Linked DNA regions of Stegostoma tigrinum. Each later gene encodes a partner of the first gene's protein in a complex. Links are inferred from orthologs where the notes say so. Each region holds a gene or a part of one and is shown on either strand. Other genes may lie near its edges.

The links. Proteins that work in one complex are often made in the same cells at the same time.
Region 2: the proteins of kidins220b (region 1) and xenotropic and polytropic retrovirus receptor 1 homolog are in contact, whole or in part, in a cryo-EM structure (PDB 9JXQ), measured with the Homo sapiens proteins. The link is inferred for Stegostoma tigrinum from reciprocal best matches to the Homo sapiens genes KIDINS220 and XPR1. Residues at the interface, in NP_065789.1 of Homo sapiens: Glu36, Cys37, Gln39, Asp70, Trp72, Met102, Trp105, Trp110, Tyr113, Lys114, Val138, Ile142, Trp143, Gly146, Arg147, Ser166, Asp167, Lys168, Tyr169, Gly170, Trp176, Arg179, Lys180, Gln198, Glu199, Gly200, Ala201, Ser203, Lys234, Arg267; in NP_004727.2 of Homo sapiens: Leu95, Lys189, Lys190, Gln193, Glu197, Ala200, Asn204, Glu205, Ala636, Asp637, Asp638, Leu641, Leu642, Gln644, Met645, Met646, Asp647, Gln648, Asp649, Asp650, Val652, Arg653, Asn654, Arg655.

Annotation. Positions count from the first base shown.
Region 1 is NC_081357.1:113,752,911-113,760,272, forward strand, and holds the start of kidins220b (kinase D-interacting substrate of 220 kDa B), read left to right. Parts: upstream 1-4,349; 5' UTR 4,350-4,537; intron 4,538-7,362. UniProt on the Homo sapiens protein: Promotes a prolonged MAP-kinase signaling by neurotrophins through activation of a Rap1-dependent mechanism. Provides a docking site for the CRKL-C3G complex, resulting in Rap1-dependent sustained ERK activation.
Region 2 is NC_081361.1:8,624,535-8,632,276, reverse strand, and holds the start of xenotropic and polytropic retrovirus receptor 1 homolog, read left to right. Parts: upstream 1-4,732; 5' UTR 4,733-4,752; intron 4,753-5,335; 5' UTR 5,336-5,376; coding exon 5,377-5,445; intron 5,446-7,742. UniProt on the Homo sapiens protein: Inorganic ion transporter that mediates phosphate ion export across plasma membrane.

The DNA of each region.
Region 1 (7,362 bases):
GGGAGTCAGAGGTGTGTTACTCGTTGCAGAATTTTGAGCCTTTGTTTTTGTCACCACATTTATGTGGTTAGTCCAGTTCCATTTCTGGTTAATATAACCCCAGTTTGTTGATGGTAGGGGATTCAATGATGGTAATGCTTTTAAATTTTAAGGAGCGATGGGTACATTCTCCCTTGTCAGAGAGGTTCATTGTCTGGCTTTTATGTGACACAAATGCTGCCTGCCATTTTTCAGCTCAAACTGGAAATTGTGCAGATCTTGCTACAAATTAAGAACATGTGGCCTAAAAAAACCTGGTACATTTACACTAAATTACAGAAAATATCTTAGATTCTGGATTTGGGCCCTGATCCCAGATTCAGAAAGCAATCCCTAATCCCTTACTCTGGTTCTGTACTGGATTCAGAAGCTGGATATTGTCCAGTTCTTGCTACATTTCGACATGGACTGTTTCAGTATCTGAGAAGTTGCAAATGGTGCTCAGCATTGTGCAATCATCACGAGCATCCTGAATTCCGACCTTATGATGGAGGGAAGGTCATTGGCGAAGCAGCTGATGGTTGGTCCCAGGACACAAACAAGAGAAAATCCCTCAGTGACGACCTGGACTTGAGATAACTGACCTCCAAAAGTCACAACCATCTTCTTTTGTGCCGGGTATAACTCCGACCAGCAAAGAATTTGCTCCCTCATTACCAGAGACTAGTTTTTTTTTGGACTGCTCGATGCTGCACGTTGTCAAAGGTGGCAATGACCCTTGTCTAGGCCCGAAACATCAACTTTTGTGCTCCTAAGATGCTGCTTGACCTGCTGTGTTCATCCACCTCCACACTTGGTTATCTCGGAGTGTCCAGCATCTGCAGTTCCCATTATCTCTGGGTGTCAGTGAGCTGGTATTATCTGGTAGCTCTGTTGATAACATTTGATAATTTACTAATGATCAAGAGTTCATTGGACATGGACTATTTCAGTATCTGAAAAGTTGCAAATGGTGCTCAGCATTGTGCAATCATCAGCGAACATCCTGAATTCCGACCTTATGGAGGGAAGGTCATTAGTGAAGCAGCTGATGGTTGGTCCCGATCAATTACTGGTGGGCTGGTTTGGATGTGCCATGCTTTTTGTGTACAGGGCCAACCTGGGTGATTTTCAGAGTACTTGGAACAGCTTGGTTATGTTTGCAGTGAGTTCTGGAGCATAGCTCTGCAGTATAATTCCCAGAAAGTTGTTAGAGGCCATAGTCTTTGTTGGATCCAGTGCCTCTAACCATTTTTTGAAATCATTTGGAGTGAATCATAATTTCTGAAGATTGGTATCTGTGATGCTGGCACTTCTGGAGAAGGCTGTATTGGTGATCTCTGATCATGGACTCTGGTTGTGATCCTGGACTCCGCTTTTGATCTGGGACTTGGGTTATGATCCCAGACTCTGCCTGTGATACCAGACTTTGGTGTGATTTGAGATCTTAGGTGCGATCTGGTACTCAAGCTGTGAACTGGGACTTGGGTTGTGTTCCAGGACCTGTGTGGTGATGCAGGTTCTGATCCAGGACATAGAATGAGATCTGGGGGTCAGCTTGTGATCCAGGACTCTGATTGTGATTTCAGTCTTGGACCGTGAGTTTGCAACTGGATTGTGAGCCAGATTCTGGTTTTGATTCTGGATGAGCTGAACTTCCGGAGGTAGGCTGGGATCCTGAATCCTTGTGAGATCCCAGACTTGGGCAATGATCTGGGAGTTGGGTCATCACCCCAGACTTGGTTGGAATCCCAGAGTCATTGAAGTTTCCAGACTCAGGCTAGGCTCCCAGACTCTGCTGTGAACTTGGACATGGGCTGGGATACCGGACTTTGGTTGTGATTCAAGATCATTGCCCAGGTTCAAGATCCTATCCCCAGAACAGGATCCCAGAGGTCACAGTGTAAGGATACAGGGTAAGTCATTTAAGACTGAGATGAGGAGAAATTTGTTAACCCAGGTGAGTTTGTGGAATTCTCTGTCACAGAAAGCAGTTGAGGCCAAAACAGTGAGTGTTTTCAAGGAGTTAGATGTAGGTCTTCTGGCTAAAGGGATCAAAAGGTATAGGAAGAAGGTGGTCCTGAATAGGATGAGCAACCATTGAGGTGTTGGTGGTCTTAAAACACATAAATGTAGATAAATCTCTGGAACCCTATCAGTTGTATCCCAGGACATTGCGGGAAGCTAGGAAAGAAATTGCAGGGTTCCTAACATAAACATTTGTATCATCTACAGTCACAGATGAGGTGCTGGAAGATGGGAGGGTGACTAATCTCATCAGATTGTCACTTCAGCTCTGATGAAAAATCATCTAGATTCAAAACATTAGCTTGCTCTCTCTCCATGAATGCTGTCTGACCTGCTGTGATCTCCAGGATTTGTTGTTTTCAGTAAGATACCAGCATTTGCAGTAATTTGTTCGTACCTAGAGAGTGACTAATGTTGTGCCATTATTTAAGAAAGGCTGCAAGGAAAAACCAGGGAACTACAGACTGGTGAGCCTAATGTCAGTGGTGGGTAAATTGTTGGAGGGGATTCTTAGAGATAGGGTCTACATGCAACTGGAAAGGCAAAGACTGATTAGGGAAAGTCATGATAGCTTTGTGTGTGGGAAAAGTTGCTCTCAAATTTGACTGAGAGTTTTGAAGAGGTGACCAAGAAAACAGATGAAGGCAGGATGGTGCACCTTGTCTACATGGACTTTAGCAAGATCTTTGACAAGGTCCTGCATGGTTCAAGGTTAGTAAAGTTAGATTATATGGGATCCAGGGAGATGTAACCAATTGGATACAAAATTGGATTGATGGTAGGAGACAGAGTGTACTGGTAGTGGGTTGTTGTTCAGACTGGAGGCCTGTGACCAGTGGATTGGTACTAGGTCCACTGTTGTTCATCATTTATTTGAATGATTTGGATGAGAATGTAGGAGGCATGGTTAATAAATTTGACAGTGACACCAAAATTAGTGGTATAGGAGATAGTTAAAAAGGCTATTAAGAGGGCAACAGGATTTTGGTCAATGGGGCCAGCAGGTCGAGGAATGGCAGATGGAGTATAATTTAGATAAATGCACGGATGATTTGTGTTGACTGCTTGCTTCTGTGCTGTATGACTCTAATTTTATTGAATGATGCAGCAGGCTTTAACAGCTGAATGCCCAGCTCCTGTTCGGATATTTCTGTCCCAGCCTGCATCTCAGCTTGCTGACCAATTCCCAGATCACTGCTTGATTCCAGAATCTCAGTCTGAACCTGGACCATATCCTTGTCTGGGATCATAGCCTGAGTCCTAGATCACAACTGGATTTATAGTTCTCTGCCCATATCTTGGATCCCGTCACGAATCCAATATTGCAGCCAGGTGCCGGCACTGCAACTGGATTTCAGGATACCAGCTGAAGCTGAGATCAGAACTGATTCCTGCATCCCTGCCCAAGTCCGAGATCACAGTCAGAATCCAGGATACCAGCTCGAGTTTGGGATCTCAGTCCTAATCTAGGATCATAATCAGAGATCCCCAATCTGTCTGGGATCTTTGCCCAAGTCTGAAATCCCAGCCCAAGTATCAGATCACAAGCAGAGTCTGGGTGCCCAGTCCATGTACCAGCTCAAAGCCCAAGTCGGGGACCGTAGACCAAGTCCAGAGCTTAGATCGAGTTTGGGATCTCCGTCAAAGACCAGGATCACAACCCCAAGTGATTCCAGGAACCCAGTCCTTGTCCTAGATTACAACTGGAGTCCAGATCACGAACTGCGTCTGCAATCATTACCCAAATCCAGGCCTTCAGATCACCAGTCGAGTTCTGGATCCCAAAGCTACTCCTCAATCACAGAAGATGATTTCAGGTTCGCTACCTATCCAAAACCATGACCCCAGAATCCGGTTGTAATCTGGCACTGGGGTTGTATTTCGGAATTCAGGCTGTGATCCAGGGCCGAGGGCCCGATCTGAGACTCGGGTAGTGATCTGTGAATTGGGATGGGATCATGGAGCTGGGATGTGAACCTGTAATCTGACTTTAATCCGGGACTCGGGCTGTGATAACAACCTCTGGTTCTGACCCAGGACAAGGGCAGCGATCCCGGATTCAGGTTGTGGTCTGCGGGTGGGGCTGTAATCGCAGATCTGGGCAGTGATCTTGTGTGATCTCCAGCCGTCATCCCTATTGATCTCGGGGAGTGATCCCGTATGACCTGGGGCAGTGATCCCAATTGGTTTGTCGGGCAGACATCACAATGAACTGCGGCAGCGGTCCCAGCCAACCCCGGGCAGTGATCCCGGATGATCTGGGTTTGGGCGCCTCCTGCTGCTGGGAGGGTGGTGACGTCGCCGCAGTCGAGTCCACGTGACCTGTGTTCGGGCGGCGGCGGCGGAAATGGCGGCCCGTCAGGAGGTGGCGACGCGAGTGGAATAAGAGAGACACAGAGAAGGGGTACGGAAAGGAGTTGGTCGTCGTGTACGTTTTCCGTGAAGCGGAGTGGTGAAAAGTGGGCGAGTAAACCGGAGCCTTTCGAAAACGGTACGAGCCTGATGTCTTTGTTATGTTTGCGGGGCGGGCGCAGTCGGTGAGCGAGCTCCGGCCGCGGGTGGAGTTCCTGGGTCGGTGGGTCCAGTCCCTTCTGCCTATTTCCCCCGGCGATTTTTGAAACGAACAGCCGGCTCGCGCGGCTAACGTTCACTGTGTGTGTTCTGGAACGCGACAGTGGCTCATTGTGACGTGCAGGCGGCCGGAATGGATGACCCGGATCGGCTCGGGGGTCACTGCTTCTTCGGCATCCATACATCCATCTGATCAGCTGACAGCAGGTGCATCCACCGCTTCATCATGTACCTGCCGAGTTATTACATATTTGGAAAATGATTTACTTTACTCCTTTTTATTGCTGTAATTACCTCTTTGGAACAAATGATTATAGGGAAGCGGATTTCTTTTTTAAAGAGTGTCATCAAAATACGTTTTAGTGTAACCTGTTTCCTGAGAACAAAAAAAACCCTCCTCCCTCCAATAAAGGCAAATCTAATTTCATCTGCCTTTGTATCAGGGTGCACTGAATCGATTCGAACGGTTGTCATTCAGCAACTCTGGTAATGCTGTCGATTCTAATTCAGTGGGAGATAACTAGTGTACTATGTCAAATAAATGTTTAGCCTGTGGGCAGAGTCAATTAAGTTATTTGTTAAGGGCCTTTATTTTGGAAGGTTGACATTGGTTGTGTTTTCTGTTCCTTGGTGCTATTATTTTTATATAATAAAATGTGATTGTTAATGTATACAAATCATTTGTACAAGGAGCAATGAAGTATTAATTTATATATGAATATACAAAATGGTAGCAGGAATATGCCACTTTGTTCCTTTATTCTGCCATACAGTCAGGTCGTGGTTCATCTGATTACTTTCCCTAATAATCTTTCCCCCCTTTACTTATGAATAATCTATCCATCCTTGCCTTAAGCGTGCTCAAAGACTCTGCATGTACAGCCTTTTGAGGGAAACCATCCACAGACTCTATATTTAAAAAGCACTCCTCTCTGTCATAAGTGGACACCCCTCGTTTTTAAATAGAGACCCTCTATTTCTGGATTCTCCCTGTAGGAAACATCATTTCCATATAACAGAGGTCTTGACAGGGTGGACATGTTTCAATGAAGCTATTTCTTTCTAGCTCAATCTGTGGCGAGTACGAACCTAGCTATTCCAGTTTTCCTTTGAAAGCAACTTGCTATTCCACATTTTAGTCCAGTAAAGCTCTGAATTGCTTCTAACACACTTACCTCCATTGTTAAATAAAAGACCAATACGCAACTCTGCATGTGGTTTCAGCAATACCCTGGTTAACTGAAGCATGTTCTCCTACTTTTATATTCAGTTCTCCTTGCAGTAAACTGTGCATCTTATTAGCCTTCCTAATTACTTGTATCTTCAATCTAGTGTTTGTGATTTGTGCTAGGACAAGTGATGTCTTCATTCCTAGTTTGTAGAAAACGTAAATGCTTAAATGTTATCGAATTGTTCAATTCTTGCAGTTTTGTGAGTGAAAAGAGAGGAAAGGAATCTAGTAAGAGAAAGATTAATGCTAAATAGTATCAGACTGGAAGTGCCTAGCAAATTCTGCGAACTTTGTCTCATTACTGTAGATGCATCTGTCCCTTTAATGGAATGCTTTAATCAATACACAGGGAAAGCAGGTACCACATTTGGCCAAGTCGTGAAATATGCACAATGTAACGGAAAGCTAACCTTCAAGACAAATTTGTTGATTTATAGTGCCAATGACCTCGGCACTTTGGATGGCTTTGAAACAAGTGACCAAGTGAGGAAGAGATAGTAGGATCTGCAGATGCTGGAGAATCTGAGATAACAAGGTGTAGAGCTGAATGAACACGGCAGGCCAGGCAGCTCCAGAGAAGCAAGAAAGCTGACAATTCGAGGGTCTAGGCCCGAAATGTCAGCTTTCCTGCTCCTTTGATGCTGCTTGGCCTGCTGTGTTCGTCCAGCTCTACACCTTGTTATCTCAGACCAAGTGAAAAAGTTCAGTAACTTCTGTCTTCCCTCTCTGAGACGCATGGCAAAACAAAACCATGAATGTGTCAGACCTCTCAAAGGCAGACCTCTCAAGTATGTTGACTCAAGTCAAGCAATGCAACATCAGTACTTTGAATTTCTCCACAGGCTGGAAGATAGCCACGTACCCGACAGTCTTCTGTACAATCAGATAGCTGGAGCCAGAAGTTGAACATCCCAACCTCTGTTTCACACCTCAGAATCATGACATGAAAGCTCTAAACAATGACTGTTGTGTCTTAAATAATGAGTGAAAGTAAGAGGTGGCGACCCTTTTGGTGTTGATGTCCACAAACCTGATGATCAATGGCTTCTGTAGTTTGGCAACCGATGCTAATTTTGAAAGAGACCCAGAACATAATTTGTTGGCTTCATGTGTTTCTGTCATGGCAGAATCTGCTATTAGCAATTGGCCTTCACAGGCGTCAGCACAAGTGCACCATTGAAGACACCCAGCTAGATGAGTTGTTTGCAGCGTGTCTAACATCCTTTATACATGGAAGGATACCAACCCTTTCGGTATAGTACAAGTTTTTGTAAATTGTGACATGATGTTTAAAGTGAACGTGGATATTTACGAGAAAAACAGAAAATGCTGGAAATACTCACTGGGTGTGACTGTATCAGTGCAGTGTTTTCAGTGTTTTCTATTTTCACTTCCTTTCTAGCACAGTCTCAGTCAGTACATGCCATTTCTTTTGTCATTATTTACAAATACATATGTGGTCTTACACTATAATCTGTTCTCTGTACCAGTTTGCACCCTATGTTTTTTAAATT
Region 2 (7,742 bases), on another chromosome or scaffold:
CAAGTGTGGCTGCACCAGAGTTTTGTACAGCTGCAGCATAACCTCTTGGTTGCGGAACTCAATCCCTCTATTAATAAAAGCTAAAACACTGTATGCCTTCCTAACAGCCCTGTCAACCTGGGTGGCAACTTTCAAGGATTTGTGCACATGGACACCGAAATCTCTCTGCTCATCTACACTACCAAGAATCTTACCATTAGCCCAGTACTTTGCCTTCTGGTTACTCCTACCAAAGTGCATCACCTCACACTTGTCTGCATTAGACTCCATTTGCCACCTCTCAGCCCAGCTCTGCAGCTTATCTATGTCTCTCTGCAACCTACAGCATCCTTCGTCACTATCCACAACTCCACCAACCTTAGTGTTGTCTGCAAATTTACTAACCCATCCTTCTACGCCCTCATCCAGGTCATTTATAAAAATGACAAACAGCAGTGGACCCAACACCAACCCTTGCGGTACACCACTAGTAACTGGTCTCCAGGTTGAACATTTCCCATCAACTACCACCCTCTGTCTTATTTCAGCAAGCCAATTTCCGATCCAAACTGCTATATCTCCCACAATTCCATTCCTCCGCATTTTGTACAATAGCCTATTGTGGGGAACCTTATTAAACGCCTTGCTGAAATCTATATACACCACATCAACCGGTTTACTTTCATCTACCTGTTGGGTCACCTTCTCAAAGAACTCAATAAGGTTTGTGAGGCACGACCTTCCCTTCACAAAACCGTGCTGACTATCCCTAATCAATTTATTCTTTTCCAGATGATTATAAATCCTATCCCTTATAGCTCCTTTTCCAACACTTTACCTACAACTGAGGTAAGGCTCACTGGTCTATAATTACCAGGGTTGTCTCTACTCCCCTTCTTGAACAGGGGAACCACATTTGCTATCCTCCAGTCATCTGGCACTATTCCTGTAGACAATGACGAGTTAAAGATCAATGCCAAAGACTCGGCAATCTCCTCCCTGGTTTCCCAGAGGATCCCAGGATAAATCCCATCCGGCCCAGGGGACTTATCTATCTTCACCTTCTAAAGGATTTCTAATACCTCTGCCGTGTGAACCTCAAACCCACCTAGTCTAGTAGCCTGTATCTCAGTATTCTCCTCGACAACATTGTCGTTTTCTAGAGTGAATACTGTTGAAAAATATTCATTTAGCGCTTCCCCTATTTCCTCTAACTCCACACACAACTTACCACTACTATCCTTGATTGGGCCTAATCTTATTTTCGTCATTCTTTTATTCCTTAAATACCTATAGAAAGCTTTAGGGTTTAGCCTGATCCTATCCGCCAACAACTTCTCATGTCTCCTCCTGGCTCTTCTGAGCTCTCTTTTTAGGTCTTTCCTGGCTACCTCGTAGCCCTCAAGTGCCCTAACTGAGCCTTCACATCTCATCCTAATATAAGCCTTCTTCTTCCTCTTGACCAGAGATTCCACTTCCTTCGTAAACCACGGCTCCCGCGCTCTACAGCTTCCTCCTTGTCTGACAGGTACTTATCTATCTAGGACACACAGGAGCTTTTCCTTGAATAAGCTCCACATTTCTAATGTGCCCATCCTCTGCTGTTTCCTTCTCCATCCTGTGCTCCCTAAATCTTGCCTAATCTCATCGTAATTGCCTTTCCCCCAGCTATAAGTCTTGTCCAGTGGTATACACCTATCCCTTTCCATCACTAAAGTAAACATAACAGAATTGTGATCGCTATCACCACAAAGTGCTCACCTACTTCCAAATCTAACACCTGGCCGGGCTCATTACCCAGTACCAAATCTAATGTGGCTTCGCCCCTTGTTGGCCTATCTACATACTGTGTCAGGAAGCCCTCCTGCACACTCTGGACAAAAACTGACCCATCTATAGTACTCCCATCTATAGTGTTCCCAGTCAATATCTGGAAAGTTGAAGTCCCCCATGACAACTACCCTGTCTCTCTCACTCCTATCGAGAATCATCTTTGCTATCCTTTCTTCTACATCTCTGGAACTATTCGGAGGCCTATAGAAAACTCCCAACAGGGTGACCTCTCCTTTCCTGTTTCTAACCTCAGCCCATACTACCTCAGTTGACGAGTCCCCAAACATCCTTTCTGCAACTGTAATACTGTCCTTGGCCAACAATGCCACACCTCCACCCCTTTTACCATCTTCTCTGTTCTTACTGAAACATCTAAATCCCGGAACCTGCAACAACCATTCCTGTCCCTGCTCTATCCATGTCTCCGAAATGGCCACAACATCGAAGTCCCAGGTACCAACCCATGCTGCAAGTTCACCCACCTTATTCTGGACGCTCCTGGCATTGAAGTAGACACACGTCAAACCAACTTCTTGCTTGCCGGTGCCATCTTGCTTCCCTGAAACTTTATTTCGGACCACCGTACTCTCAACCTTTTCTATAGTCGAACTACAATTTTGGTGCCCATCCCCCTGCTGAATTAGTTTAAACCCACCCGAACAGCCTTAGCAAATTTCCCCCCCCAGGATATCGGTACCCCTATGGTTCAGGTGAAGACTGTCTCAGAGCCATAATTGAAGGAGAGAATCAGGCTTTGCCAATTGCTCCTGTTCCCCCCTCCCCCAACCAAGGTCTCGATCGAGGTCAGAAGATTCTGTAAGAACCATGTTAGATTTGCAGGATTGCTGTGTTTTGGTTGACAGTAAGACCCTCAAAAAATTACCAATGTAAAAATCACTCCTTAACTCTCTACCTGAAAAGTTAACTTCAAAATTTTGATTTTTTATATGAAGACATAAGGTACTTTTGTTTAATAAAATGTGAGGCTGGATGAACACAGCAGGCCCAGCAGCATCTCAGGAGCACAAAAGCTGACGTTCTTTTGTGCTCCTGAGGTGCTGCTGGGCCTGCTGTGTTCATCCAGCCTCACATTTCATTATCTTGGATTCTCCAGCATCTGCAGTTCCCATTATCACAGGTACTTTTGTTTCACTAGTTTTTACCGCTTTCAGTATTTATACCCCAAGTCTCTCAACTCAATCACAGTTCCCAGCTTCTCATCATTTAGAATGTACCCCAATCAATCTTTCTCAGGTCCAAAGTGGATGATTTTAGTTTTGCCCACTCACCTAATCCATGTTTGGCCTTTGTGTATTTCTCCTTTCATCTACAATCGTTAGTGCCTTTTAATTTAAGCATCTGGAAACCTGAATATATAAGTCAATATTCTTCATCCAAATCGGTGGTATTTGTAGGAAATAACAATCATTATAACACAAGTCTCTGGAAGACACTGAGTTATATTCAACCAAACAAACTAATAGTCTACTCCATACCTTGTGAATAATTCACTCCCTATGTTGAGAGGTTGCCTCCAAGTTCCTGTCCTTTCTCAATTTCTATGCCTCCTGTGCAGAGTGAATGTTGTGATTCCATCTATTACAATAAATGCACATCAAATAATTCAACACCTCTTATTCTTGGGATCTAAAGGATGTTATATACATGCCAACCTTCTTCAGTTTGTGAATATCACGACCCTGATTTGACAATTGTAGTAAAAGTGAGATACCAGCAGAAACGTTTCATGACAAATACAGAAATGTGTTCCTTACTTGTTTTAAACTGGAGTTTGGGAGAGTGTTTGGGGTGCAAAGCAATGTCCTTGGGCCAATATTTATTCCTTAACCCACAGCACCTAAGACCTTTCATAGGTCCTGAGGACCAGAAATGTTTTTTTCTGGGATCTTTTTTGACAAACTTGATTCTCGTGGCATTTGTAGTAGTATTGCTGGTATTAATAATGCATCACTAATTGCCCTTAAGGAAGTAGTTGGCGGTGAGCTGCTGTTTAAGCCACTGTAGTCAATCCATTTGTTCGGAAGCTCCAGGATTTTGGCCGGATGACACTGAAGAGACAGCGCTATTTTCATGTCAGGGTAGTGAGTGGCTTGGAGGGGAACTTGCAGGTGGTCGTGTTCCCATATATCTCCTGCCCTTGTCCCTTCAGGTGAAGCTTCAATACATTGCCAAATGAAAAATAAATTTCGAATATCGCGTTCTCAAAGTTGCCAGCTCGGAGTTTACCAAAGTCGATTGTGAAGGAAAAGGAAATTAAAAGGAGCCCTGTTCGCGACAATTTGTTCTATTTTCTGCACTGTTTTGACGAATGGCATGAAACTGTAAATCGAGCTCGCAAATCGTCAGTGCAGAGTACTCAATCCCAAAAGTATTTTTAAAATAAATATTAAAATTAATATTAATATTAATAAATACACACAGGCTAACTCGACACCCGTCCAAGCGGGCCCCAGCTCCCGCGAGCGCGCGCGCACCTGTCAACGGCTCGCCGTCCCATAGGTAGAGTCAAGCATGCGTAGGAGGGGCTGGAAAGGGGCGGGGGTGGAAATGGGCGGCGTTACTGAGGCGGAGCTAACAATAGGGGCGTGGCAGGGAAAGGTGTCTGAGAAGCGTGCGAGTAGGGGGAGGGGTTTGGATAAAGGGCGGAGCACAGCTCCAAATGTGCGCGGACGCAGCTTTCTTTGGGCGGAGCGTCGTCCGGTGGAGGCGTGGTCTGGTCACGGTGTGGGCGGGCCGTGGGAGGTGGGTCAGATTGTGTGGTGGGACGTCAGGCTGTGGGGGCGCGGTGCTGTACCTTCTTGTGCGGGGAGTAGCCGAAGGGGGCGTGATTCGGCTCCTGGTTGGACGGGGCGTCGCGTGGTGGGGTCGTGATTCAGTTCACGTTTGGGCGGGGCGCCGCGGGGGCGTGGTGCAGTCCCGGTACGGGGCGTCACGCTATGGTGGCGCGGTGAAGTCCCTGAGTGGCCGGGCGTCATATTGTGGGGCCGCGGTGCTGTCGTGTATGGGCGGGGCGTCGCTTTGTGGGGGCGTGGTGCGGTCATGTTATGGGCGGGGCGTCGCGCGCTGGTGCGCGGCATGCACTGTCGTTAGATGGGAGGGTTTTCCAACGGGAGAGTGGAGAACTGGCCGCCAAGGGGCGGGGCGCAGGTGCCGGCGGCAGAAGTCAGGCTGGGACGGGGGCGGGACCAAGCCTGTAGGCGTTTCCTTGAGGCGTGTCGTCATTGCGCGGTCTCGCGCCCTGCGGTAAGCCGGGAGGCGTGCGCGGTGGCGCGCCTCAGCCAGCTCACGCGCAGGCGCGCTCTAGTTGTGGAGTCTTGTCAGTAAGATGGCGGATGATCGGCAGTGAGTGATGATCTCTTGTTCCGTCTGAGAGAAGGAAGCGAACCACCACAAGGCAGAGAGAGATAGACAGCGGTGCAGTTTCGGCCAGGAATGGTCGTTAGTCAGCGGATGCCCACCAACTGACTGCCTGGATCCTTAACCTGTCCTTGCGTTTATTAAGGCGGAAAGGAGTCAGGACCATCTTCAGGACAAACATCGATCATGAAATTCGCCGAACATCTCTCAGCCCACATCACGCCGGAATGGCGCAAACAGTACATCCAGTACGAGGTGAGCTGCGGCACGATCGGTCAGAAAGCCGCGCGGGTTAGTGGCACAATGGACAGCTCTGAGGGGAGGAGGGTGAGGGAGAGAGACAGACTGGAGGGTGAGGGGGAGGGAGAGACGGACTGGAGGGTGCGATTGCAGGAGTGGGAACTGGAGGGTGTGGGTGAGTATGTGGGTAATGGACAGGATGGCCTGGGGGACAGACTGACAGGTGTGGGGGACGGACTGGCAGGTGTGGGTGAGGGAGGGGGACGGGAGGGAGAGTCATCGAGGAGTTTAGAGGCTGAGGGTGGAGACTGGAGAGGGAGGGAAGAAATCAGTAGTGAGATAGAAGGTGATTTGGGGGGACTGGAAAGAAAGATAAGGATTGGAGAGAGATGGGGAGCGATGGGGAGCAGTTGTTGAATTAAGTGATTGGAGGTGACATGATGGGAAAGGGCTTGAGAGCTGTTAGGCAAGGATGGATTGATTGGAGATACAGAGTGATGGGAACGGCGAGTGAGTGGGGTGTTTAGTGTTGGGATGTTGTCATTGAGAGTGAATATGACGGGAGGGAGTTTGGTCTGTGGAAGGAGAGAGGATGAAGTGTTGGAGATGGAGCTGTACATGATCATCCACACTCTTAAAATTGACGACCTCTGGAAATGCTAAGAACTGCAGATAATAATATCCAATGGTGAACTGTTGTGAATGGGAGGAGATTTCATTTTAAGTATTAGATGCAGTAAATTGATCTTGAAAGGATGAAGGCAGTGTTGAATTGAAAAATAGACACAATTCGTATTATGTTCCGAGACATTCGGGTTTCAAATTGTATAAAAACTTGAATGGTTATTTCACCTTCTAATGTGTAGCTGCCTTAGGAATTATTTCTGCGACGATTATTCTTTGTAAGGCATTAGTAGATTTTTTTTGCATGTTTGCACAACTGCTGGGGAGTGAAATTTTAGTGTCAGGTGCAAGCCTTTGTCATTGAACATTATTATTTGAATGGTATTTATTATGTAATGTTTCAATGGTAATTGATAGATGGGAACACAATTTTTGAATATGGTGTAAATTAAAATTAAAATAATTACAGTGTACCTATGTTTGTGTCTGCAAACACTGAAGAGAATCATTAATATTCAATATAAATGCCTCAAGGTTATAAATGCTGGGATATCTCCACAACACAGTGTGATCAGTGTAGTGTACCAGGAATTTTCGATAAAGAAATGCAGAAAAGAGGGACTGGATTTACAGAGAAATGAGAGAGAAAGGTAAAACTACTTTTGTTTTGTCGGTCAAAGTTCTTGATCCGTGCTTGGTCACAGCAGCCCTAGCTAGAGCTAATCAGTCATGGCCCCCCTCCTGCTATGACCCATGCCCGGGTGTGTTAGTTTACGACTAACAGATGAATAGCTTCATAGAATCACATAGCACGGAGGGAGCCATTTGGCCATCATGCCTGTGCCAGTTCTTGGAAAGAGCTGACTAGTTGTGTAACCTTGTCAATCTTTTCCTTTTCAAGGACATATCAATTGAATTCACATCTGTTTCAGGAAGTGCATTCTACATCGTTGTAAATTGCAGAAAACCAGATTTTTTTATAGCTTGTCAAGCATACTATCTTAGCTCAAACTAAGTTACATAGAACATAGAACATTACAGCACAGTACAGGCCCTTCGGCCCTCGATGTTGTGCCGACCTGTCATACCAATCTGAAGGCCATCTAACCTACACTATTCCATGTACGTCCATACGCTTATCCAACGATGACTTAAAGTTGGCGAATCTACTACCGTTGCAGGCAAAGCGTTCCTTTCCCTTACTACTCTCTGAGTAAAGAAACTACCTCTGACATCTGTCCTATATCTTTCACCCCTCAATTTAAAGCTATAAGTTGCCAGTACAAAACAAACTTTACAATCTGTGAGAAACAAGGAAGGCAGAGTCAAGAATGAGTTTTTTTTAGTGCAGGTTGGTATATTTTTAAAAACAGGCATAGAAAATGTACATCATTCCTCAGCCTATCCCAAACCAATAATCTTCAGAACATTTGATTAATTACAGAACAACCACTTATGAGTTAATTTGTTAATATTGTCTCCACTATATTGTTAGTTATAATTCAACAAAGTATAATGCTATTGTATAATGCTAGGCAAGGATTACACCTCACTGAAAAAATAAATTCTGTAAAAATGGTCTGGAATGACTGTATTGATGAATATCTGTACATGATAGTTGAGCATACAATGACTGTTTTCATTAGAATGAGGACTTATTTTAGAATAGATGCCATGAAAGTTGAAAT